Linked DNA regions of Daphnia pulex. The protein of the gene in region 5 purifies or fractionates together with the protein of the main gene of each other region. This does not show direct contact. Links are inferred from orthologs where the notes say so. Each region holds a gene or a part of one and is shown on either strand. Other genes may lie near its edges. The genes, in order: small nuclear ribonucleoprotein F, U4/U6.U5 tri-snRNP-associated protein 1-like, U4/U6.U5 tri-snRNP-associated protein 2-like, U4/U6 small nuclear ribonucleoprotein Prp3-like, CD2 antigen cytoplasmic tail-binding protein 2 homolog, small nuclear ribonucleoprotein Sm D1-like and probable small nuclear ribonucleoprotein E.

Region 1 (2,732 bases), on a different chromosome or scaffold from region 5:
AAGAGTGCTGAAACCTTAAAAATACCTGTATAAGGAAGTTTTAAAACTGTTGGATTGGCAGAAGAAGCATCTTGTGAAGATCTTTCCCCTTTATTCAATCCTGAAGCTGCCTCCAATAATCCAATTGCAGGGGATGGCGAAGAGGGCTGTGGATGTAATGTTGGATTCAATAAGGAAACTCCGATGACACCATGACTTGCAGAGCGAACATGTCCCTTAACTCCACCCGGCCAACCCCTGCTTGGCAGGGGGTTGACAGTTTCAAGCTCTATTGGGGGTTGCATCACATCAGGAAAAATGTAGGTGGTACCCGGTGAATCAAAATCCATACCGTCCCTGAAAATGAGAGAGTACCAAATTCAATTACAATTGAATTTCTTTAACCATTCACGAAACTAACTGTCAAGCTTGTGACTACCAACAACCAACTCAAAATCAACACAAACTTCTGAGCAATGGAAAAGGGAGAGTTATTTACTCACCAAACATCTTATTTCAATATTGCTGAAAAAGACAAGTCAGCTTTTGTTTTCAAAAAATGTCCATGGCAGACTAAAATCAACAAATCGTCTTAACAGTGGAACGATTGTTCGTTTATTTGGTCCAATGATGGAACCCAGTGAGGAAATGGAAGAAAAACAATCGGTTGGAAAGTGACGTCAACTTTAAAAAAAGTGCAAAAAGATGAAAGAATGGTAAGATAGAGTTTAGTGTCAGCAACTGAGCAACTTGTTGTGTGTCCACGTATATAACGGCAAATTCCAGCTGTGCACTGCTTTCAGCCTCTGCTGCATACACCGTACAAGCTTTACTGCCAGATTTTACACTCGGTAACCGATAATAAAGGAAATTGCGCGGAATGGACACCGGAGTGAAATAAGAAACCGGTTTGTTGACCGTTTAAAAGCTTCCAAAATGTAAAATTGAACCTAAAAAGTCTTTCTGTATCAAGACAAACTGTGATAAATTCCTATCTTTTTAATTCCGCGAAACGCAAAACCCTCTTTTATTACTTTTTAGAGAGCGCTAATTCTGGTTGTGAAGCTTCTCTGTTCTTGCCAATTTGTTAAAAAGACTTTTCATATCCACGACCACGAGTCACTTATTAAACAAAATCACTTAATAACGATACATAAAAAAAAATTCTCCTTTGGTTGTAAATTTTTCCAGCTATTATGATTGAAAACAGAATAGGTGACGTGAGTTTTTGGTCCGGAACCAGAGATCCGGGATCGTTGCTCTACGATGGATATCTCATTACATTACATCAAAAAATTATTTAAATAATCCTATTTTATAAGGTAATTTTAGTTCACTAGTTATTAGGTTTAAATATGTAAATTTCTTTCCTACAAAATGGAAAAACTTTCTCAAAATTTGATGTACTTAATAAGACGACTTGGCAACCCTTACTTCTGATCTTTACGTTACAGAACGTGTAAACTGAAATAACGCGGCTTGACTCGCTTGTCAAACATTCAATCAAATTTTGTAAAATCGTTGACTAAAACAAATACAAATCATGGCAGTAAGTTCAAAACCTAAATCTTGTTGGGTGGTCCTTTTTAGCCGACCATTTACTAACATGTTATATTTCATATTTTCAGGCACCCATGCCCATCAATCCCAAACCCTTTCTCAATGCCTTAACCGGCAAACCGATTATGGTAAAACTGAAGTGGGGCCATGAATACAAAGGTTATCTCGTTTCAGTTGATGGATACATGAATCTTCAGGTACTGTAATAATTATACCATGTAGTGCATTTTCATCAGTAAAAAAATGAAAACATGCTGTTGCACGAAACAGTGTGCATATATGAACAATGGCAATAATTCTTCTTATATTATCACAGTTGGCAAACACAGAAGAATATATTGATGGAAGCTGTACTGGAAACTTGGGTGAAGTTCTTGTCAGGTGCAACAATGTACTTTACATACGTGGAGTGGAAGAAGATGATGAGGAGGGAGAAATGAGAGATTGATTGCTGTTTGTATTGAATTTTTCATCCTTTAATACATAATGTCATTTCCTATCTATCTCATAGAAGTTATTGTATAGGAAACCTGGAAACCCTAAAAAATATGTTCTGGTGTATACATTACAAGATTCCCACAGACAACGAAGGACAAACAAGTAAAAAAACAGCTTTTCAGTATCCAAATTCCAAACACAGAACCGTTGTCTACCGTATTGGTGATTTAATGTTAAGTATACTGGAATTTCTTACGTTCCGGCGATTTTTTCCATTTAGTCGGAAAATAAAGGCTTTGTCTAAATGGAAAATGGTTAAGCTACCTTATGAATGAAGTTAGTAGGCAGCCCGCAGTCCCGCATGCTCGTAAAACTCAAGTCACATTTCTTTTCCACTTACACCAACTTGTTCGTAAATATATTTTGTAAGGTATAAATCAAAAAGGCAAACAAATCCGGAAACACCTTTTCCGATTGGCTCACGCTGGTACCAGCTGATGTCATAAGAATACCTAATTGCTTATGAATATTAATTGTTCAATACGTTTCAATTGGCCTGCATGTAACACGGCTGTTAACACTATAGGACGGTAAGCATGCGCAAGTTATCACTGTCGTTTGAACGTTAGGGGAGTTATAGGCTGTTGAACTCCGAGATGAATTACTACGGTTTGAAACAAATAATAAACATTGTACAAATGTACGTTCCTAACTAGACAACGAAGATTAAAACGTTACTGTCAGGATCACATTTA
Region 2 (4,240 bases), on a different chromosome or scaffold from region 5:
AATAACAAAATAAAATAAGAATAACTGAATATCGTATAAACAAAACACAAAATAATTGTACGCTGCTTTATCTTCTATGGTGTAGCGCTGCGCCTGCAGCTCTTGGGCGGACTTAGAAATAACTATCCTCTTCTTCTCTTCTTTCTCCAGATAGCCTTTGCTCATAGCCAATTTCAAAGCTGCAGCCATTCCCGAGCCGACATCAGGTTCCTCGTCCAGGATAACAGTAGCGTTATCTATTTTACAGAGAGAAAAGAAAAAAATGCAAACACTGACAACAATAAAAGTGACGAGAACACAGTATACATACCCTTTTCATTACGATCGACATCCATGCTGTCGTCGGAACCTTGATCGTTTTCACGTTCCAGAACATTCCATCCACCGCGTTCTTGAAGACGCTCAGCCTCCCTTTTTCGCTCTTCTTTTTCTTGATTTCTTCTGCGTTCTTCTGCCAACTGTCGCTCGAAATCCTATTGCCAAAACAGAAACGCAATTAATTAAAGTCAAAACCAAAAAAAAAAAAACATTCATGCAATGAATTACCATTAACTCATCTTCGTCTTCATCACGATTGCCTGCCATACCATAGGTTGGTATGTCACCAAGAGTACGACAGAATTCTGCTGTGGCATTCAGTATGATACTACTCTTCAGAGGATCCTCTTCCATACCTTCCGTTTCTTCCAAAGGCTCGCGTTTTAATGACCGCGTAATCATGTTCATGTCCCACTGATCAGCCTTCCTTTCTTTTAGTTTATTAGCTTTTAATAGTGCCTGACGTATTTCTTTTTGGGATTCGTCTACAGTAATCTTGAATCCGCTTAAATCTGGCGTTGGATAAACAAGACATAATAAGTAATAATAAAACAATATACTAGTCAAACTAAAATACCTTCTGTGACCTCTTCATCCATTCTCTTCTTTCGAGATCTCGATCCCAAGTCTGACGAAGTTGTTTCTTGCGTTTCTTGAATAAGATCGTCAGCTTTTAAAATGCCGTCGCCTTTGGATCGAACCTTTTTGACGCGACGTTTAACTTTTTTGAAGGAAACCATTTCTTCTGCTGTATAATATTCAGATGCAATTTGGAGCGGTCGCGATTCCAGTGATTCAATTTTCTTCTGTTGCATTTTGAGTTTGTCTTTCATCAACTTTTGGGCTTTCATTTTGGCTTCTTCATCTCCAATTTTACCTAGAATTTTAACATAAATATTTTTGTAAAGATCAACAAAACAAATCTAATATTTTACCTAGGACAAAGCTATCATGTTTTTCTCCTTCTATTTCTGTGTCATATTTAGCAAGCAAGAGCTTTGGTTTGGGAAGGCCCAATTCATCAACTTCTTCCTCTTCATAGGGCTGATATCCCGGTCTCTGTTTCTTGATTTCATTGTTCTTTTTGTAGCGTTCTATATCAACAAGGTTGACATTCACCAAAACATCCCCTTCCTCTTGCAAGATGTTTTGATCTTTAAGAGTCAATACTACTTCTTTCCCTTCAGCTATCATTTCCTAACAAAATAAAGCAACATCAACACAGGTATTCAAATAAAAGTATACGTTGTCGGTGACTTACCCGGTCATGTTCTACTTTTATTCCTCGTAAGTCTCTACTTGTGTATGCTTTTGCTTTTTGTTTAATCAGTTCAGTAGTTACCATATCTCCTACACCAAATGCTTCATCCATTTCTTCAAGCATTTTTGCTCTTTTATTAGCTTCTTCCTTTTCTTTCTGAATCCTTCTTGATTTTTCAACCCAGCTAACAGCATTGTCATCATCATCAGCTGTTGTATGAGCAAGAGTGCGCACTTGTGCAAGCTTTTGTTCTATTTGCCTCTTTTCTCGTCTTTCATCTAGTTTTCGTCTCAACTCTTCTGTGGCTTTCTTTTCACGGAGGTTCTCTAGAGAAATACCACATTTAAATTGTACAAGTAAAGACATTTAAATGAAATCATTACCTGCTGGGACATGAACATCCTTTTTCTCAGTACTGGCTTCAACATTTGAATTTTCTCCTCCAATCTCCAATGGCTTCAAACCAAGTTCAGCTCTTATTCTGTTGGTTTCCTCAATCGAAATGGAAGTATCATTGGTTGAATTAGCAACTGGTCTTTCATCATTCCCTTTTCCTTAAAAAAAATTATTGGTTACTAGTTACTAATAAACATAATTTTGAATACATACCTGTCAACAGTTCTTCGCTCTGAATGTTGAGACTTATATCTTCCTTTATTTGTTTGGATTTGACGGAGGCATAACTTTTTGAATGTGATCTTGACGGAGACCTAGATGGGGAACGATGTCTTCTTTTTCGAAAATTATTATGATCGCGACTTTCTTTTCGGTCCATGTCTCCTTAAGAACTGAAAGAAAGTAGTTTAACTTAGGTGGGAAGTTTTGATTTCTTTAAACATAAAATTTTTTTCAATAGAATTCCTTAAAATATCAAACAATAAAAGTAGGGTACCAGAATCTGTATTCACTTAATGATCTTGCAACAATTTTACTTCAGAACTTGAGAACTGAGAAGCAGACTTCAGCTTTTGCAATATTTATTTTGATGCCGTTGGGTGTTGGTAAATTGCTAAATGCGGGATTGGAAAGCGGGGACAAATACAAATCCATTGATTCCGCAACAGATGGCGTGTTAATCCTCCTATTGAATAAAACTTAAAAAAAGAAAACAGAAGATAAATTTATCCGTAAATCAATAAAGGAAAAACATAATGAAAACATTAAGGCCAGTATAGTTTTTAACTATTTGTTTTACATGTGAAGACTTGTGCGGCAAAACCAAAAGTCCAAAACGAACAATGTCGTTGTCGATTTTTGTTTATACTAAGGGTTCCAAGATTCCGCACCAGGTTCGCTAGTGAGGTAGGCTGATCGCCTCAAAGACTATAGATGTTATTCCAATGAAAAAGTAGTAGTCGAACAAAAAGTCCTGCGCAGTTTACGCCGATGCGCACCACTGCGGCCGATAGCAGAACCAGAGCAATAGATGCCTGGTCGGTTCTCGGCTGTGTTGGCTTCCCTATCCCGGTTTTAGGGTAAACGTATCCCCGATTTTCAGACATTTTAGGGCGGAGCTTGTCAGAATTGTGAAGTAGAAACTGGAAACAGAGCCATCTAGGCTCTCAAAAGTAGCTAAGCGTAGTAGCTGACACACTCACTAGAGCGCTCATTCCAGTTTCCAAATCGGACCACGTTTACCCTGAATATAGGGTCTGTTGGGGTGACCACCCCCTCTCGATTTTCGCAGCGCTAGGTGGCTTATAGGATGAAGCCCGGCATGGCCGAAAAACGAAGAAATTTTTAGAAATTTTTTCAAAAATTTCAATCGTTAATATCTCGGCTTCTGAGCCGAGCATCGAAAAAACATGAAAATTGTTTGAAGAGGTGGGCTATCCCATCATTATGAAACAATTCGAATATTTCCAGGTGCAGCAGTTGACGAGAAAACTGCTGCACAAAAAACGAAAAAAATTCCAAATTTCGGCTACCCCCTCTCAGTTTTTTTAAAAAAATCTCCCAAATTACAAAAGCTAGGCGATTGCGGTTTTCAGCAATCGACTTAGCGAAAAATTTTGCACAAAACCCATCTATTTGTTAATTTTTAGAACCCCTAGCGACGATTTCCGCTAAATCAAAAACGGCCTCTTTGAGTGGCGAATCGCTTGTTGAATCGTTAGGAATATTGCTCAATTCCAGTTCGAAGTTGCCTAATTCCAGTTACGACAAAAACAGCAAGATAGAGTTGCATTTTGGTTCGGAGAAATAAACTGGTAATACTGTGTTGTTTTTTGGTGGTATATCTTCGTTCCATCCAAATATTTCTCTGTGCAGAGTGACTGGCAAGTTCGATTCAAGAACATACAACAACATCCTCAAAGAACATATTCTTCCTTTTTGCAAGATGAAATCAACTAGACATATTGGTGTAGTACATGACTGGTAATCTTATTTTCACATTACAAATTAAATTTCTTGTGTGTGTATGTTACCGAATATTGTTATCAACTGTTTATAGGTTCCCGGTTAACCGCAGCAAAGCTGCTATGAAATTTGTTACTGAACCAGAGGGTAACATTGTCATTCTTGATTTGCCTAAATAATTCGGGGACGCCATACCCGTTGAAACTGTTTGACTGAAAATGATCAATGAGTTCACTCGCGGATTTGTGACGGCTACTAGTGAAGAAGGTTTATTGTGAGAGGATTCTATGATTTGGCAAA
Region 3 (4,181 bases), on a different chromosome or scaffold from region 5:
TTATTTCTGTTACGAGCGGGAAATAAATGAAACCTACATTGTTGATGCCGCAATCAGATTCAAAGAAAATGACAGTGTCAGTGTTGCTAAGAGTAGCGTCCCCAACACGGTGAATTGTTTCCAAACCAGTAGCCAAGCCATCGTGCAAAAAGACACCGCCATTTACGCCGGGGTAAGCATCCCATCTATTTAGGAAATTTCAGAAAATTCATATTTACTAAAAATAAAGTTGATTGTCAATTTTTCCCGTCATACGTAAAGCTAAAATCGCCATCTGGAAGCTGAATACGGTCGTATCCTAGCAGGACTATCTGCTCGCGAACTAAAGCCAAAACCTAAAATATAAAATGTTTTTAAAAAGACAAAATTCAGTAAATCAAAGAACGAAATTGAATTATATTACAAATACCTCGTCCATGTATTCATTGGCATTTCCTGCTTCCCCACTTCGAGCACGATTCATCAAATGTTCAGAGGCCGGAAAGGAAAGACGAAGAAGCGGCTCGCCTTTTCCAGAAACGGGGCGTCGAATTCCAGCACCTACCAAAAGTAATGACAAAATTAAAAATTATGGTCGTTAGAAATTTAGAATCAACCCAATCAAGGAACGAGTAACAAATATGAGCAAACCATTGGAAAGGGTAAAAAGGCAGAGCAAAGCGAAAATGCCAACCACTTTCATGACGAACGAACACAATTTCAGTTTAAAGTTAAAGAAAGAAACCGTGTCCTTTTGAGAAACAGAAAATGCAAACTGCACACGACCAATTTATACAAAAATTATTGGTCTATCAATGATTGGGCAATCGATCACTTCTTGATTAGAAAGTGATATAAATGGGTTTTTCAAAGATTATGATTGTGACATCGAACTTGATTTGACTAATCTGATAATCCGTATTGCGTGCTAAAATCAAAGGGCAAACAAAATTACCCAATGATTATATTTTTGTACACCTTCGAAGGACGAACTTATACAAAAAAAAACATTCTATTGAAAATGAATTACGAAATTCTAATTCACCAATTGCTTAGTTGATTTTTAGAAACCCGGAAATTGCTTGTTTCCGGGTTTATGGTTCAAGTAAGCAATTTGTATCCAGGCAGAAAAAATCTACACTATGCTGAACATCATTATCTGAACCATGAATATCGCTTTCAAAATATAGACTTCTGTTGACATAAGTTAATCAAGGTAAACAGAGTTCTGATAATACATCCAAACAAATTCGAGACAAACTCTAAACTTTGAGATGATTACACAACACCCAAGACCCAACAGCGTTACCAGACACAAAATAAGGGTTTTTTAGTTAGTTATCAGGATAGTAATTCAAACGATAAAAAATAGTAGCCCCATCTTGTACAAATAATTATTTACTTGACGCATGACCATGATAATCAAACGAAATTTTGAATCGCGTTACAAGATTTGAATGAAGTAGTTCACGCCATCTACAGGACAATAATTCTACTTTTTCGTTTACCGGCATTAACGCGTTGCATTCGTTTTATGTGTCTGCTATCCTTTCCGTAACTCTGCATTCGAGTTTCCTTAATTCTTAAACAATAAGAAAAGCTGTCAATTTTGGCTCTTGGGGTAAATATCTTTTCAAAAATGGGGACGGAAAAGAGTGATATAAAGCGCAAACATGAAGATTTCGATGATGAAGACGAACCCGTCGTGAAAACAAGTATTGTTGTCACTATCCACAAAACCAAATAATAAATATAGTGCAATCCGTGTAACAACTTTTACTGATAAAAATTCTAGGAGAACCAATTGCCAAATCTCGTTTGTGTCCTTATTTGGACACAATAAACAGGACAGTTTTGGATTTTGATTTTGAAAAACTCTGTTCAGTCTCGCTCACAAGGATTAATGTCTATGCATGTTTGGTGTGTGGGAAATACTTTCAAGGTAAATTTGAAGTTAAACAGCAATATTCACATATTTTAAATTGTTTCAAATGAATTCTAGGAAGAGGCCCCAGCACACATGCATATCTTCACAGTGTGGGAGAGGGACATCATGTTTTTTTGAACCTTCACACCCTAAGATTCTATTGTCTGCCAGACAACTATGAAATCATTGATTCATCACTCGATGATATCAAATATGTCTTGAATCCAACATTCAAAAAAGCAAATATTGCAGTGTTGGATGTCATTGATAAAGTATCTAGGTCTTGTGATGGTACTCTTTACCGTCCTGGAGTAGTTGGACTCAATAACATCAAAGCTAATGATTACTGCAATGTAGTCCTACAGGTAATGAAGTAGTAAACTATAAATTAAAATAATAAACTTTACTTACTTTTGTATTAGGCTTTATCTCATGTTGTTCCACTACGCGATTACTTTCTCAGGGAAGAGAACTACATTGGTATCAAGCGTCCTCCTGGAGACAATAACGTCATCTTAGTTCAGCGTTTTGGTGAATTGATTCGTAAGCTTTGGAATCCACGCAACTTTAAGGCTCACGTTTCCCCCCACGAGATGCTCCAGGCTGTCGTTCTGTGCAGTAAAAAGAAATTCCAAATTACAAGCCAGGGTAATATTAAATTATGAGAATTGTTATTAAAATTTTACCTTGCTAATTCTTCATTTTCCATATTTCAGGTGATCCAGTGGAATTTCTTTCGTGGTTTTTAAACGCGTTGCATCTGGCATTAAACGGTACCAAGAAGCCAACTTCTTCAATCATCTACAAATCTTTTTTGGGAGCAATGAAAATTCATTCTCAGCGAATCCCACCCATCGATGCCACTGATACAGAAAAGGATGCACTGATGTTGACTGCCGAATACGTCGAAACATTTGTCGATTCGCCTTTCCTTTTTCTGGCAGCCGACTTGCCTCCCCCTCCTCTGTTCAAAGATGAATTTCGCGAAAACATCATTCCACAGGTTTGCCAAAATCAATTAGCTTGTAGCATTAATTAAAAGCTAGATCGAGTCTTTTGTTGATTTTTCAGGTATCTCTGTTTGCATTGCTGTCTCAATTCAATGGAGTCCAGCAAAAGGAATACAAGACCTACAAGGAAAATTTTTTGAAGAGATTCGAATTGACAAAACTGCCACGTTACATTATTCTCAACATCAAGAGATTCACGAAGAACACGTTTTTCATAGAAAAGAATCCCACCATCATAAACTTCCCCATCAGGTAAATAAAATTACCACACCATTTTTTGTTGACTGTTACAAAATTGAGATGTGCTTTTAGGGGTGTGGATTTTGGCGATATTCTAGGTGCAGATGTTCGCGCCAAACACGGATGTACCACATACGATCTGTTAGCCAATATTGTACATGATGGAGAACCAACCAAGGGAACTTATCGTGTTCACATACTTCATAAGGTAAATTCGTTTTATTGTTGACCAATAATCACAATAAACTTCACGAGTCAATTGCTTCTATTAGGCGACAGGAAAATGGTTTGAAATGCAAGATCTGCACGTGACAGAAATTCTTCCGCAGATGATCACTCTCACAGAAGCTTACATTCAGGTAGAAAAAAAAATACAATAAAACGTTATTATGTCCCATTTAAAATGTTCAAACATTTTAGATATGGGAACAATCTACGGAAAGAAGCGACGTTGAAATGTCCAACTGAAATTTCTGTCAAAAGTGTAAAACCCGAGTTGAAATAAATATTCAAATTCGTACTAAAGCATTAATGTGAGACTTCTTATTGGATTGAATAAAATTAACACACCACGTCGCGAGGAAAACGAACCATGTTTGATTACACAAGATGCAATAATACACAACTTATTTCGTTTTTTTTTGTTTCATTTATCTTGCTCCAAACGATGTTGTGTGGCAAAACAGGGAAAAAGGAGTGATTTGTTTAATTAAGAGAGAAGAAGTGGGTTTGAGAATGCAGAGCAAAATAAAGAAATCTTGAAACAAACACGTAAGAGACAACCCCCAAAGAGGACAGAAGGGATGAAAAAATAAAGGGTCGTAGTGAAAAATTAGATTCACACCGCGCAATCAAATTGTCCTTCATGAATTCCGCTCGTTTGCTACTCTTTTTCCCTTACATACACTCGCACAAAGTTTCTTCAAAAATCAGACCAGCATTCGATCGAATTCAAATAGCTTATTTTTTTGCGGTGAGCAGCGGTGGGGTGATTTTTATTTTATGCTACAAAAAATTGGAAAACG
Region 4 (4,007 bases), on a different chromosome or scaffold from region 5:
AAATTCTTAGATGAATAGCAAATCTTTTAAATTGCAAAAACCAATTTTTTTTTTTTTTACAACAAGCTACATCAAAGATTTCAATTTTTTATGAGAAACTCAAAATATGTTTCTTGGGTTATGATTTTGGCATTTGCAATTATTGCTACTAATCATTCAGTTTCTTCTCGACGTACACGTAATCCTTTTTGGTTTCGAATACCCTCAGAGCTCCCCGATTCCAACCAACTAATTTTTTTTTTTCCGTGAGCAACCTCATCCTTTCCTTTTTCCCCTCCCTCTTGTAATACACAAAATAGCTGTGCGTCGAATAAACATGATTCTCATTTTCTTCCCCTTTCTATTTGTAGCGTACACAGCAAGGTTATTGCTCTCTCTGGATGGGATTGTTGTGGGATTTGGATTGCATTGGATTTGGATTTCATTGGAATGGATTTGGATGGATGCATTGTGGATTGATAGGTGACAGGATCTGGAGGATATGCTGGAAACAGCAACCGCTTCTCCTTTGTCTACAACCGTCGTGGTGAATCGCTGTGGACTTGCCTTGTCAGGACCCGTTTATTTTAAAGAGATCTGTTGGACTCCGGCACTTTGGAATTGAGCCCGACCTAAGACAAGAGTTAACTTAGGATTGCTTACCCTTTGATTTTCAGGCACTTTTTTCATCATCATACAGAGAAAGAAGAAACCGACGGATGACGACAAAATGGAAATAATACATGCCTTGCAAATGGTGATATTTCCTTGGAGTACAAAGAAATTCCTTCGATGTTTACCGATACTTCTGTTTTCGGCACATTGGAAACAGTATTACCATTTTAATGACAATTTTTTTATGTATGATACGATTTAATACAACCAGTGAAATGCTTTTGAAAAAAAAATTATGACCAAAATTATTCTGTTCTCTAGACTAAAACAAAAATTTGATGACGTGTTTAAAATACAAAGTTGCTTTTCGTCTTAAACACAGAAAGAACAATTAAAACAATTCGCATTACGATTACTCACCATAGAAACTTAACGTAGAAACTGTTTCAGAGAAAAAAAATAGGTTTTTGTTTAGTTTTGATTTCTTTCTAAATTTATATCTCCTTGTCCTTGGAACCAAAAATGAGAAACAAAAATGCTTTGAACTTGAGCGCTTGCTTCTTCTTTTTCTTTTTACGAAAGTCCCAGTACTTCCTTAAGATTCCTCTAGATGGCGTCTTCGCGTTGCTTGGGTAACCAAAAACGTATAAAAACGTACAAATTTTCCCCCAAAATAGTGTAATTACACATTCACTTTGAGCATACTCAAAAAAACATATAGTTTGAAATTATATATTTGTACAGCGTTTTGAGTTTATCATCTGAATTTCTACGATTTTTCTGTGCATCAATAGGCTCTTATCGGTTGTTAACCGGTCTCTAAACAGAGCAAGTTTAGACCTGCAGTTACGAACTACAGTGGAAGATTGAAGCATTGGTAAGAATAATTTTGTTTTTTCTTCAATAAACCGATGATTTTATTTCACAATACATTCGTCATTTGTCATAGATTAAACATTGTTAGAAGATATTTTCAGTACGTTGAAAATTGTCACTATAATAACATTGTAGCAGAATGTTTCTCTTCAGTAAACAACAACTTTTCTTTCTTTTTTTTTAGGCATCTGTGATATAGGTTTTTTGGGGTATTTCCAATCATGGCTACTACAAGCATAAAAAGACCTAAAGAAGAAGATTCACTCGATGGACCTGGTCGAGAAGCAAAAAAGTTAAAATCACGATTCCAGGATGACAGCAATGGAGATGGAAAGAGTGACCAGGATACTACTGAACAACTCTCTTCTTCTCAGATTAGAGAAATGATGATGAATGCTCAAAAGATGATTGAGGAAAGGAAACGATCTCTCAATCAACCGCCAGCTCTTCTCAAGACTACCCCAGTGCTCTCATCACTTCCAACACCTGTAGCTCCTAAAGCCGTTCCCCCATCTTCAATGGATGAGCGTGCCAGAAAGATTGCTGAACTACAGGCTCAAATTCAGTCAAAACTAGCCACCTCCACTTTAGCCACATTGAACTTGAGTCTTCCTAAAACAGCCAGTGTCCCTGCATCAACAGGGGAAGGGTCTAATAATGAGCCGAAACCTGGCCCACTTATTCTCAACGCTGATGGAAGGACAGTTGATGCGACTGGTAAAGAGATTGCCTTGGCCCAATACACACCAACTCTCAAGGCAAACATTCGTGCCAAAAAACGCGAGGTGCTCAAGACTCACATGGGCAAAGGATCTCAACAACAAAGCGAGGAAGCGGGAAATTTGACGGAAAGTCGCTTCTTCGATCCACGTGTTGCAGCCAAATCCTCCGTGAGAACACGCAGAACCTTCCACTTTCACGAGCAGGGCAAATTTCAGCAAGTGGCATCTCGAATGCGAATGAAGGCTCAGTTAGACAAATTGCAAAGCGAAATCTCTCAAATTGCCCGTAAGACTGGCATCAATTCAGTCACTGCACTTGCTCTAGTTGCCCCACGAGTTGGCGATCGTCAGGAGGAGGAGGACATTGATTTGGAATGGTGGGACTCGGTCATCTTGCAAACACGAAGCTACGAAGGCGAAGACGGACAGCCCAATTTACGCCAGGAGACGATTACCAATTTAATCGAACATCCCATCCAAATGCGTGCTCCCACCGACCCGCTGGCCTTGCCCTATTTGCCCGTCTTTCTCACCGAGAAAGAGCGCAAGAAGTTGCGCCGCACCACTCGACGTGAAAATTGGAAGGAGAAACAAGAAAATATCCGTTTGGGACTGGAACCGCCACCTCAAGCAAAAGTTCGAATTTCTAATTTGATGCGCGTGTTGGGCAACGAAGCCATCCAGGATCCAACCAAAATTGAAGCTCACGTCCGCGAGCAAATGGCCAAACGACTTCAAAATCACCAGGAGGCAAATGCCTCTCGAAAGTTGACGGCTGACCAGCGACGCGAAAAGAAGGAGAAAAAGCTCCAAGAAGACACGACAACGAGCGGTGTGCATGTGGCGATTTACCGGATCAAGGATTTGTCCAATTTATCCAAGAAATTCAAAATCGAGACCAATGCCAAGCAGCTTTACATGACGGGATGCGCAGTCATTTTCAAGGACGTTAACGTCGTTATAGTCGAAGGAGGCCCTAAACAGCAGAAGAAGTACAAACGCTTGATGCTCAATCGCATTCGGTGGGAAGAGGACGCCGTCAAGGTTAGCAAACACGACACTGGTTCATCCTCCCAGCCCGAAACGCGGAATTCCTGCCAGCTCGTTTGGGAAGGCACGACCAAACAACGCAATTTTGGTGACCTCATCTTCAAACTTTGCCCATCGGAGGTTGTGGCTCGAGAACATTTTCGCAAACACGGCGTCGAACACTACTGGGACCTGTCTTATTCCACAGCAGTGCTGGAAGAAACTGAAGAAAAGTGATCGGTTTCATTCTGCCATCAACTTTAACTCTTTATTTTTTTCTTTTCATTTTTGAACCAAACGTTCATCTTTGAATATTACCATCAATAAAAAGATTTGTCTTTATTTCTTTTTTTTTTCTTTTTTTGTGTACAAAAACGGGGAATGTTATACAGGTCTTCGCAGGAACATGACAGAATATATCCTTTGACGCTGGGCAGCTTTTCAGGCACTCGGTGAATAGAAGGTGTAACGTGGTGTCGTGACGGGTTGCAAAACAAACGATAATCCGACAGTTGTTTGTGTTTGGTGATCTGTTGTTGGTTCTCCGTGACCTATGACGCAGCATAAGGAAAAAGGTGGTATTTATTAGACTAGTTCGTGATTGTCATTTCTAACAGATTTTTTAATAGTTTCCTTTTCAGCGAAATTGAATTTAGAATTTTTTTAAAAGGAGGAAACTAACCGCCCAAGGCTTCAAGTGATGACAGGAGGACAAAGCCGACGAAAACGGATAAAAGCTTAATTAATCCATTGCCGGATTTCCTTCGCTCGCGTTCCAACACTTCG
Region 5 (3,193 bases):
ATGGATTGTGTATTATGGTAAGAAAGCCTGCAATTGAGCTTATACATTATCTGAACAAAACAAATTTTGATGCTCCAGTTCTTAGATATGTGCTGTGTAAGTTACCTTTTTTTTCATGCCTTTAATAATGTTAACAAACCCTTTATAAGTATTACACCATTTATTGCAGATGGAAAGACTGGAGTTGGAAAATCTCTTTCTCTAGCTCATATTGTCCATTATGGTAGCAGTGCTGGATTTGTTTTAGTTCATGTTCCGTGGGGTAAGAACTAAGGAAGATTATTACTAAATATTTTGTGCTAATAATACCATCCTATTCAACTGATTTTTAGTTCCCAAATGGTTTCAATACGTGAAGGTTGCCACTCCTTCATCAGTTCATGCAAATAAGTATGATCAACCAATTGAAGCAGTAGAATGGTTAAAGCATTTTAGCACACAGAATGGACATCTGTTGGATAAATTAGAGGTGATATAAACATATTTATATGTTCTTTTTGTATTCAGTAGTTTTAAGCCAATGCTTTTCTATGTGTACTCATTATGGGTTTTCTGAACTTAAAATAACAGCTGAAGACAAGTAACACCTACACTTGGAGTAAACGAGAAGTGACTGCTGAAGGATCTCCTCTGAGTGAATTGATAGATTTGGGTCTCAACAGGGCCAAATATGCAACTGGTTGTATTGTTGCTTTGTTAGATGAACTTAAAAAAGCCGCTTCAAGCAAACAGTACGTTTCATAATGCAATTTTGAATCATATTAAACCACGGTTATCTTACGCAGATGCCGCGTTCTCGTGGTTATCGATGGATTTAATTCTTTCTTTTCACGGAAATCGAACGTGATCAGGGAAGACAAATCCATGGTTTTACCCTCAGACTTTTTGCTAACGGATGCATTATTGTCTCTTACAAGAAATGATTGGGTATAAAACATAAATAGTGATTATTGGAATGTTATTTGATTTCAAAATATGGGTTGAATTTAGAATAACGGAGCCGTCGTAGTATCAGTTGATCCATCGGCTCATCCTCCGGAACTGCGTGAATCACCTCTGCCTAGATATCTTCTTGGAAAAACAGTATTTCAATTTATGGTATTCATACAACAAATTAAACAACTCCGTTGCCATCCATCTAGGGTTTCGAACATCTAGATCCTTTCGTCCCGATCGAAGTACAGAACTATAATGACAAAGAATTTCGTTCGCAAATCGACTATTACATTGAACGAAATTGGCTTCAGCAACCGAAAGCCCGCACGGACAATGGACGAGCTGAACTGAGTTTTACTAGTGGCAAGCATCCATACAGTTTAATGAGACTTGTTGCTCCATATTGATTGGATGATTATTAACAATAAAAATAAAAGTCAAATAATTCTTAGTCCGAAATCATTTATTTAAAAATACATCGAGAAGACGCGTTCTTTAAATCTGTTTGTCTCCTTTATCCTAGAATAATCAATTCGAGTTTTATCAAAGAAAATGCCGAAAAGGAAACACCAGGAATTAGAAGAAGACACGTTAGAAACAGGAAATGTCGACCAAGGAGATTTTTCTGACGGAGATGACAGTGGTGAAGATGATGAAAAAACTGAAAAGTATGAGATGATGCGAGAAGATGATATAGAAGGTAATAGAAATAAAATATCAGTTTCGAAGAAATTATCCACAATTCATTTCTACTGTCCCAACAGGCCAAGAGGACCCTACCCAAGAATTTGATGGAGAAGTTCAGATTACACCATTTAACATGAAAGAAGAAATGGAAGAAGGGCACTTCGATAAAGAAGGGACATACATTTTTGGAAAGCGGGAGAAAGATGAAGTGAAAGACCATTGGCTGGACAACATAGATTGGGTTAAAGTGAATTCTCAAGCAGCTTCCAACAAAAATCCATCAGATGAAGAAAGTATGGATACAAATGATTACTTGAAGAAATTTGATCCCATTCCTGTATATAAAGAAATGCTGGCCATACTTTTACCTGGTGAAACAGTTCTAAAAGCTTTGAAAAGATTAGGAGGTGGTAAAGTTCAAACAGCATCTGAGCGATGGAAGAAAAAGAAAAAGCAGCAAGACGAAGGAGACCACCAAACAAATGAATTGAATAAGGAAAACATAGCCAAATTAACTGAACATGCGAATAGCATTCTTTCTAATATGGGAAACATGGATGTTTATCAAGAAACTTTTGAAGGGATACGTTTCAAGATTAAAAAATCAGAAGAACCTGTGACGCAATCGACAAATGATCTCGATATGTTTGGAGATATGTTCGATGAAAAAAATAAAGCTGACTCCAATAAACGGGAATCGGAGTCAGTCCAAGGAGAACCCATTACCAAGAAGGTTCGGTTTGATGAAGGCGAAGGTCAAGCTAAAGAAGACGAAGTAAAACCAGAAACTGTACAATGGGAATTCAAATGGAAACAAGAAGAAGATGCAGAAATACACGGACCGCATAGCACATCAGAGATGCTTGACTGGGTTTGTTATATGATTATTAGTGTTACTTTGGCTAATTATTGTTCTAATATACCACATATTTATAGGTAAACCAAGGATACTTTGAATCGGGTGTTTGGGTTCGCCGTGTCGGACAACCAGGAGATTTCTATACCTCACGGCGAATCGATTTTGATCTATACCTTTGATTCGTATAATAATACATGTCCTTTCACTTTTATTACCTAATGATGAGAGCATGAGACGCTATTTAATTAATTATTTTTCAGCAACTTGATCAAGATATCAGACATTTTTATTCTTTAGTTTAGTTACTTCAGTAAACATCTTCATTTTAACAATTAAACGGTGCCCTACCGGTTTACGGTACTACCGGGTTGCAATGTGTTAGTGGCACGGGTTATCATCACTATTCATGTATCATGTATATTGATTTAATACCAAGATCTACCGGTTCACCACGATTCAGCGTAAAATACAAGCAAAAATCGAAAGCTTTAATTTTCGATAACGTAACGTTAACAAATAATGTGAACCATCTGTGAACCAAACATAGCCGTCTAATTGATTACATATAACGTGTATAGTTAGTTATTCAAAAACAAGAGAAACCATTTTAGAGTACTTTATATACGTATAGTTGCATGGGAATTGAAAGTCGACGCTTTCCTTCGGAAATAAACAAACAAATTTCCATTAAATTTCCCCCGTTAGATTATG
Region 6 (2,853 bases), on a different chromosome or scaffold from region 5:
TAGAAAATTAGGAGCAGATATCGCCGAAAGCCTCTTAAACGCAAATACCTCTTAAACTGAAGTTACAAAAGCAAATAAAACTTGTAGCCACGACTGTTCTTAAACATGTCAAGTTTTCCTTAAATTTGCGACATTCTTAATTTAAATTAAAGTTTAATGGTTTAGTCACAAAAAATTGAATAGTTTTAGTCTAAATTTAATAGAAAAGTAATTTAACTTTCATTTCCATCAAACTTTCATTACTTATTACACCGCTCTTTACACTTGTTTTTTCCCCGACTCCTCTGACAAAATGGCAAGAATAGTCAATATTCTTGAAATAAGCAAGGAAACGTTATGCGATGTCCGCTTATAAATCAAGAAAAGGAATTGACGGTTCTCTACAAATTATCTATGCTTACATGGGAGTCAATTGGAATTGATAAATAATTCTCATACAGACTCAACTGTGGGGAAAAAAGTGTTTGTTTTAAGGACTTTTCAACTGACCAAAAAACATATAAGACAATGACAATTTGTAATGCAAATGAAAACTGATTCCACATTTGCTGAAAAGAACGAAAAAAAAAATGGAAAATCGTTGGAAATTACAAATTTCAGCGTCGAGGACCAGTAGCACCACGTCCACGTCCTCGTCCACGTCCTCCTCTGACAGCTCCGCGTCCACGGCCTCTTCCACGAGCTAAAAAAAGAAAAGAAAATGAAAAGAGGAACACAGTGATAAGGGGAAAAAAGTTTACCTCTACCGCTAGCATCCTTCTTCTTGGCCTTGGCTTTCGGAGAATCATCCAATAGTAAGGTTTCAAGAGGAAGTGAATCAGGTAAAATGTAGTACCGGATGTTGTTTCCTCTAATACTCAAAGTTTCAAGCTGAACAGGGTCTCTGTTTTTAACTGTCATTTTCACAGCTTTTAAATGAGTGTTCATAGCAACATCAACTCCTATAAAACATAATCAAATGAATGAATTTAGTAATATACAAAACGGAAAACTTTTCTTCTAAAATGTCACTTATGTGTTTGCAATTTCACTAAGTTTTCGAAGAAAGTATTTAAGGATTGCAGTAAAATAAAAAATCGAATAAAGACAACAAAATTGAATTACCTGTTATTGTTCCATGAACCTGAGTACCATTTTTTAATTCAATAATGACTGTTTCGTGGCTCAGTTTCATCAAAAACCTAAGGATTATACAAAATAATGGTATTTATTTCAATTGAAAGCAGTGAACTATTTAAGTTGTGAAATATAGAAACGGCATAGTTTCCCAGACGCATCCAACAACCGGCTTAATACCCAGACCAAACCGATTTTTGTGGCTACTTTCTGTACGAATTTACTTGACAATGAACATATTCCGAAACTTACCTCACTAATTTCATTTTTGATAAACTTGTTGTTTGATGGCTGTAATAAAGTAAATCACCATATACGACTTATTGAATGTTTTAATCCTTAGTTTAGTGAAACGCACGAGGTACGCTAGTCAAAAACCAAAACTGCTTGTTGGAAGCATAACTTATACTAAAAAGGCCCTGTGACATTTCATATTTCATAACGGTCGATGACTATGATTTTTGTACTTGTAACGTAGCGCCATCTACGCAAATATTTTGAATTTTGTTATTAGACAAGGTTTATTTTTGCATATTTTAATCAAAAATTAACTAATAATAATTTTTTTTTATTATTTTAAATTTATTTATCAAAATAAATTCATAAATCCAGAAGCATTATCGAAGCGTATCATAGAACCGCATAGAACACAAGTGGCATGACATGAGTGACAATAAAACGTACTCCAAAACAGAAAACACATGAGACAGGCCTGCATACTATAACAGCATTTCCAGTAAGCTAAACATTGGGTTTCGGTTTCACCTATTTTCGATTTTTTAAAAATAATTCTTTGTCGGTAACGCATTCTCAATTTCCCGCGTGGTTTTAATTTTTCCCTCTCAAAATGTCTCGAATCGGACCAACATTACCTCCTCATCTTCAAACAGCGTATGAAAATGATGATTCAGATTCTGATGAAGGTGATCTCTACGGACCAGCACTTCCCGCTCATTTAAAATCACAGAAAGTGTCCAGCAAGTTAGTGCAATCAAATATCTCCAATGACAGAGGATGCTCTGTTAATCATGAAGTTGACTCTTCATCAGATGATGAAGTTATTGGACCACTGCCAGCTGATTGTATGGATGCTGAACATAGTTCATCAGTTGACATTGAACAGCGGGCTCTTAAGATGAAGAGGAAGTTGCTTGGTGTGGATGATGATGAAGCCAACAAGCAACCAAAAAGAGAAGATTGGATGATTGAGCTTCCAGAACTGAAAAGGAAAAACTTTGGCCTGGGACCTCGTGTCTTTAATCGTTCTGACAAACCTGAGGTTGTAGGGAGAGATCAATGGACTTCAACACCAACTTCCAAGGTTCAGATAGTACAATAGATACACATATAATGAAATTTTCTTAGCTGGTCATTGCTAATTTCTATAATTTAATTAATATAATTTTAGCAGCCTAGTACATCCAAAGAAAAAGATGAGGATTTTGAAGCTGAAATGAGGAAACAATACTTGGAACAAAAAAGGAATAAGAAGCTTGAGAAAATTGTGGCCATGCATGATAAATCCAAGAAGAGGTCAGAGAGTTTGTTGAAGACACATCAAAAGGAAATGAAAAGCAAGGTAATCCTACATTTTTATTTTTGCTGTTAAAGTTGGGGTAATTTGAAGTAAGATTTTTGTTTCTATAGAAAGACAACTCGTCCGGTCCTAAAGAAAGAAAACCTTTTGATCGTGATGAAGATTTAAAACTGAATCAACTCGATAATGCAAAGCGGAAA
Region 7 (2,340 bases), on a different chromosome or scaffold from region 5:
CCAAGGCGAGAACAGCCCAAAAGTTGACATTAAATGAAAAGTATTAGCAGTATTAGCTGTGATTCTGTGAATTTTTCCAAGCAGCAAGCATCAGTTGTTGTAAGGAAAGGAACGGCAGATCGGCGCAGAACGGCCACACGCCACAAGGCCACAGCCCACAGGCCCAGTCAGCAGAGTAATAGAAAAATATATTAATTCTACAGGTTTTTTGGCATACGGGAGGATTAGTTCAAATTTCGCCAATAGATGGCTTTTTGGAATTTTGAACTGCGCGCGTAGAAATTGGAAAACGGTTTGAACTGCGCGCCTCGAAAATGAAAAACAGTTTGAACTGCGCGCGTAGAAACTGGCATCTAGGCTCTAGCGACCAAAAGTAAAAGTTAACTGGCATCTATCTAGGCTCTAGGCGGCCTAGAGCCTCCGCCACAGCACACACCTAAGTCACACCCCAATGTTTGAATGTTTGACATAACTTTTGAATGTTTCGATATGTTTTAATTGATTTCGATATGTATTATTTTTTATTAGTATACGATTTCAAGTAAAAATATCGAAATAACTTAAACGAAGCGTAAGAGAGGGTGGGTGTTGTGGTTTGGTTTGTTCTAACTGTTTACAGATTTATCTGTAACTATAACTAATTATTTTTTATTTCATATTGCTTATGAAAATAATAAATTTTGCTGTTACTTAAGCTAAAAAGAGAGTGCGACGTGGGGTGGCGGGGCGAAGCCTCCGCCACACCTAAGTCGCACCCCTTATGATTCACAGATATTTTTTGATGTTCCGATAGGCCTTGTTTGATTGATACTATTTAATGTAAAAGTATAACAGTAATTTAAGCGATTAACGAAGCAAGAGGGGGGGGGCGGGGGTGGCAGGCGAAGCCCGTCCCCCCTCCCATTCACCATACCGATAGATTCATGTAATTAATTTTGAATTTCATGTTTACTTTACTTTTGCTTTTTTAAATTTTTAATTGATATTATTTCCTACGGGAACCTCGCAAACCGGAACGGGATGCCAGCATAAAAAAAGTAATATTCTGTTACTCTGGCTTGGCTGCTTGGCTGCTTTGCCTGCTTGCCTTTGCCGCCCTTGTCTTTTTGAAAAATATCGGAAAATCCCTACGAGGAAATAAATATCTGGCAACGTTGTTGGCAATTGAGCGTCTGTGTTCGTTTCTTCTTCAACAAAAAGTGTAAACTCAAACAACTCTCATTTAGAAATTTGATAATTTTCCCGTGTGGAATCAATTAAATATCAATTCAAGATAAATGGCAGCCCGAGCACCTAAAGTCCAGAAAGTGATGGTTCAACCCATCGTAAGTTTTCACCACTATCACTTCGATTTCAGCACGAAGATTTATTAACCGGCACGTGTGTCAAAAATGTCTTTTTCCAGAACTTGATTTTCAGATACCTTCAGACAAGATCAAGAGTAGACATTTGGCTTTATGAGAACATCAACATGCACATGGAAGGACACATTGTTGGATTTGATGAGTACATGAACATTGTTCTCGATGATGCAGAGGAAGTCTACGTCAAAACAAATGTCAGAAAACAGATTGGTAATGACGTTTTCATTTACTCACAATTATTCTGTCTTCTAAATGCTGTTTTATTTTAGGACGGGTGTTGCTGAAAGGTGACAACATTACTCTAATCCAAAATGCTGCAGGAAGTGGAGACGACTAATCTTCCTATATTAATTGGTCAGAATGCATTCCCAATTTGTGTTCTGTCGTGTATTACCTTTGATTAACGGGGAACTGATTTTGTGTACATCCAATCTTGATGTGCTGACTGATAAGAAAAACATGATGCTACAACCACACTTGAATATTTCATTCTCAACATCTATTTATTATTTTTTAGTTTTATATAAATTTCCCTAGTAATATTTTCCAATATTTATTTTGATGAAGCCTAGCCACTTTTACACATGAAAAATGTCTCCGGCAAGAGAATAATTTACACAATGACAAGAATAATCATGTTTTGAAAACAAGTCATTTCATGTGGACTACAATAATAAAAATAACCTATTGCACAACATTGTGTAACCACTTAAAATAGAAGGTACAAGTATAAAATCAATAAAAGTATCAATGATATCAGCCTGTTAGGTGGGGGGTGTACAACATAGCAAAGAGTGAAAACTAGCAAAATTTCAGACCCTAAAAATAAAGTAGTGTTTAAAATAATTACACATACATAATTATCAATTTATTATGACACTTCGATAACAGAGAAGCTGTTGCAATTCAAACTGGAATTGCTATTGTGTCTAGAACCGCAGCCCGAAGGCGAGGGTGACGGGTTGGACGACGAATC

The links.
Region 1: the proteins of CD2 antigen cytoplasmic tail-binding protein 2 homolog (region 5) and small nuclear ribonucleoprotein F purify together in Homo sapiens (affinity purification with mass spectrometry; 4 studies listed by BioGRID and IntAct, counting the BioPlex papers as one, with this or other methods). This does not show direct contact. The link is inferred for Daphnia pulex from reciprocal best matches to the Homo sapiens genes CD2BP2 and SNRPF.
Region 2: the proteins of CD2 antigen cytoplasmic tail-binding protein 2 homolog (region 5) and U4/U6.U5 tri-snRNP-associated protein 1-like purify together in Homo sapiens (affinity purification with mass spectrometry; 4 studies listed by BioGRID and IntAct, with this or other methods). This does not show direct contact. The link is inferred for Daphnia pulex from reciprocal best matches to the Homo sapiens genes CD2BP2 and SART1.
Region 3: the proteins of CD2 antigen cytoplasmic tail-binding protein 2 homolog (region 5) and U4/U6.U5 tri-snRNP-associated protein 2-like purify together in Homo sapiens (affinity purification with mass spectrometry; 5 studies listed by BioGRID and IntAct, with this or other methods). This does not show direct contact. The link is inferred for Daphnia pulex from reciprocal best matches to the Homo sapiens genes CD2BP2 and USP39.
Region 4: the proteins of CD2 antigen cytoplasmic tail-binding protein 2 homolog (region 5) and U4/U6 small nuclear ribonucleoprotein Prp3-like purify together in Homo sapiens (affinity purification with mass spectrometry; 3 studies listed by BioGRID and IntAct, with this or other methods). This does not show direct contact. The link is inferred for Daphnia pulex from reciprocal best matches to the Homo sapiens genes CD2BP2 and PRPF3.
Region 6: the proteins of CD2 antigen cytoplasmic tail-binding protein 2 homolog (region 5) and small nuclear ribonucleoprotein Sm D1-like purify together in Homo sapiens (affinity purification with mass spectrometry; 3 studies listed by BioGRID and IntAct, counting the BioPlex papers as one, with this or other methods). This does not show direct contact. The link is inferred for Daphnia pulex from reciprocal best matches to the Homo sapiens genes CD2BP2 and SNRPD1.
Region 7: the proteins of CD2 antigen cytoplasmic tail-binding protein 2 homolog (region 5) and probable small nuclear ribonucleoprotein E purify together in Homo sapiens (affinity purification with mass spectrometry; 3 studies listed by BioGRID and IntAct, counting the BioPlex papers as one, with this or other methods). This does not show direct contact. The link is inferred for Daphnia pulex from reciprocal best matches to the Homo sapiens genes CD2BP2 and SNRPE.

What each region holds. Positions count from the first base shown.
Region 1 is NC_060019.1:9,593,662-9,596,393, forward strand, and holds small nuclear ribonucleoprotein F, read left to right. Parts: upstream 1-1,381; 5' UTR 1,382-1,522; coding exon 1,523-1,528; intron 1,529-1,607; coding exon 1,608-1,736; intron 1,737-1,855; coding exon 1,856-1,987; 3' UTR 1,988-1,996; exon of another isoform or gene 1,997-2,038; intron 2,039-2,050; 3' UTR 2,051-2,232; downstream 2,233-2,732. Other genes in the region: phospholipid-transporting ATPase VD-like, read right to left, coding at 26-329. UniProt on the Homo sapiens protein: Plays a role in pre-mRNA splicing as a core component of the spliceosomal U1, U2, U4 and U5 small nuclear ribonucleoproteins (snRNPs), the building blocks of the spliceosome.
Region 2 is NC_060026.1:10,447,417-10,451,656, reverse strand, and holds the start of U4/U6.U5 tri-snRNP-associated protein 1-like, read right to left. Parts: upstream 2,801-4,240; 5' UTR 2,775-2,800; intron 2,674-2,774; 5' UTR 2,472-2,673; intron 2,391-2,471; exon of another isoform or gene 2,368-2,390; 5' UTR 2,355-2,367; coding exon 2,189-2,354; intron 2,134-2,188; coding exon 1,963-2,133; intron 1,906-1,962; coding exon 1,580-1,905; intron 1,516-1,579; coding exon 1,254-1,515; intron 1,196-1,253; coding exon 896-1,195; intron 831-895; coding exon 547-830; intron 474-546; coding exon 311-473; intron 237-310; coding exon 62-236; intron 1-61. UniProt on the Homo sapiens protein: Plays a role in mRNA splicing as a component of the U4/U6-U5 tri-snRNP, one of the building blocks of the spliceosome. May also bind to DNA.
Region 3 is NC_060025.1:1,778,991-1,783,171, forward strand, and holds U4/U6.U5 tri-snRNP-associated protein 2-like, read left to right. Parts: upstream 1-1,487; 5' UTR 1,488-1,618; coding exon 1,619-1,694; intron 1,695-1,774; coding exon 1,775-1,921; intron 1,922-1,981; coding exon 1,982-2,271; intron 2,272-2,328; coding exon 2,329-2,554; intron 2,555-2,622; coding exon 2,623-2,909; intron 2,910-2,977; coding exon 2,978-3,168; intron 3,169-3,228; coding exon 3,229-3,364; intron 3,365-3,428; coding exon 3,429-3,515; intron 3,516-3,576; coding exon 3,577-3,624; 3' UTR 3,625-3,681; downstream 3,682-4,181. Other genes in the region: uncharacterized protein LOC124202306, read right to left, coding at 38-185, 256-335, 410-540, 631-682.
Region 4 is NC_060024.1:10,558,570-10,562,576, reverse strand, and holds U4/U6 small nuclear ribonucleoprotein Prp3-like, read left to right. Parts: upstream 1-1,207; 5' UTR 1,208-1,226; exon of another isoform or gene 1,227-1,272; intron 1,273-1,388; 5' UTR 1,389-1,471; intron 1,472-1,654; 5' UTR 1,655-1,691; coding exon 1,692-3,458; 3' UTR 3,459-3,563; downstream 3,564-4,007. Other genes in the region: zinc transporter ZIP3-like, read right to left, coding at 3,663-3,772, 3,904-4,007. UniProt on the Homo sapiens protein: Plays a role in pre-mRNA splicing as component of the U4/U6-U5 tri-snRNP complex that is involved in spliceosome assembly, and as component of the precatalytic spliceosome (spliceosome B complex).
Region 5 is NC_060022.1:6,690,472-6,693,664, reverse strand, and holds CD2 antigen cytoplasmic tail-binding protein 2 homolog, read left to right. Parts: upstream 1-1,406; 5' UTR 1,407-1,488; coding exon 1,489-1,636; intron 1,637-1,700; coding exon 1,701-2,494; intron 2,495-2,559; coding exon 2,560-2,661; 3' UTR 2,662-2,693; downstream 2,694-3,193. Other genes in the region: 28S ribosomal protein S29, mitochondrial-like, read left to right, coding at 1-96, 170-262, 333-469, 571-731, 786-927, 991-1,083, 1,143-1,343. UniProt on the Homo sapiens protein: Involved in pre-mRNA splicing as component of the U5 snRNP complex that is involved in spliceosome assembly.
Region 6 is NC_060020.1:8,496,612-8,499,464, forward strand, and holds small nuclear ribonucleoprotein Sm D1-like, read right to left. Parts: upstream 1,532-2,853; 5' UTR 1,383-1,531; coding exon 1,369-1,382; intron 1,182-1,368; coding exon 1,105-1,181; intron 942-1,104; coding exon 741-941; intron 683-740; coding exon 597-682; 3' UTR 501-596; downstream 1-500. Other genes in the region: GPALPP motifs-containing protein 1-like, read left to right, coding at 1,964-2,437, 2,525-2,695, 2,764-2,853. UniProt on the Homo sapiens protein: Plays a role in pre-mRNA splicing as a core component of the spliceosomal U1, U2, U4 and U5 small nuclear ribonucleoproteins (snRNPs), the building blocks of the spliceosome.
Region 7 is NC_060026.1:14,103,919-14,106,258, reverse strand, and holds probable small nuclear ribonucleoprotein E, read left to right. Parts: upstream 1-1,152; 5' UTR 1,153-1,277; coding exon 1,278-1,325; intron 1,326-1,405; coding exon 1,406-1,574; intron 1,575-1,633; coding exon 1,634-1,701; 3' UTR 1,702-1,840; downstream 1,841-2,340. Other genes in the region: serine-rich adhesin for platelets-like, read right to left, coding at 2,236-2,340. UniProt on the Homo sapiens protein: Plays a role in pre-mRNA splicing as a core component of the spliceosomal U1, U2, U4 and U5 small nuclear ribonucleoproteins (snRNPs), the building blocks of the spliceosome.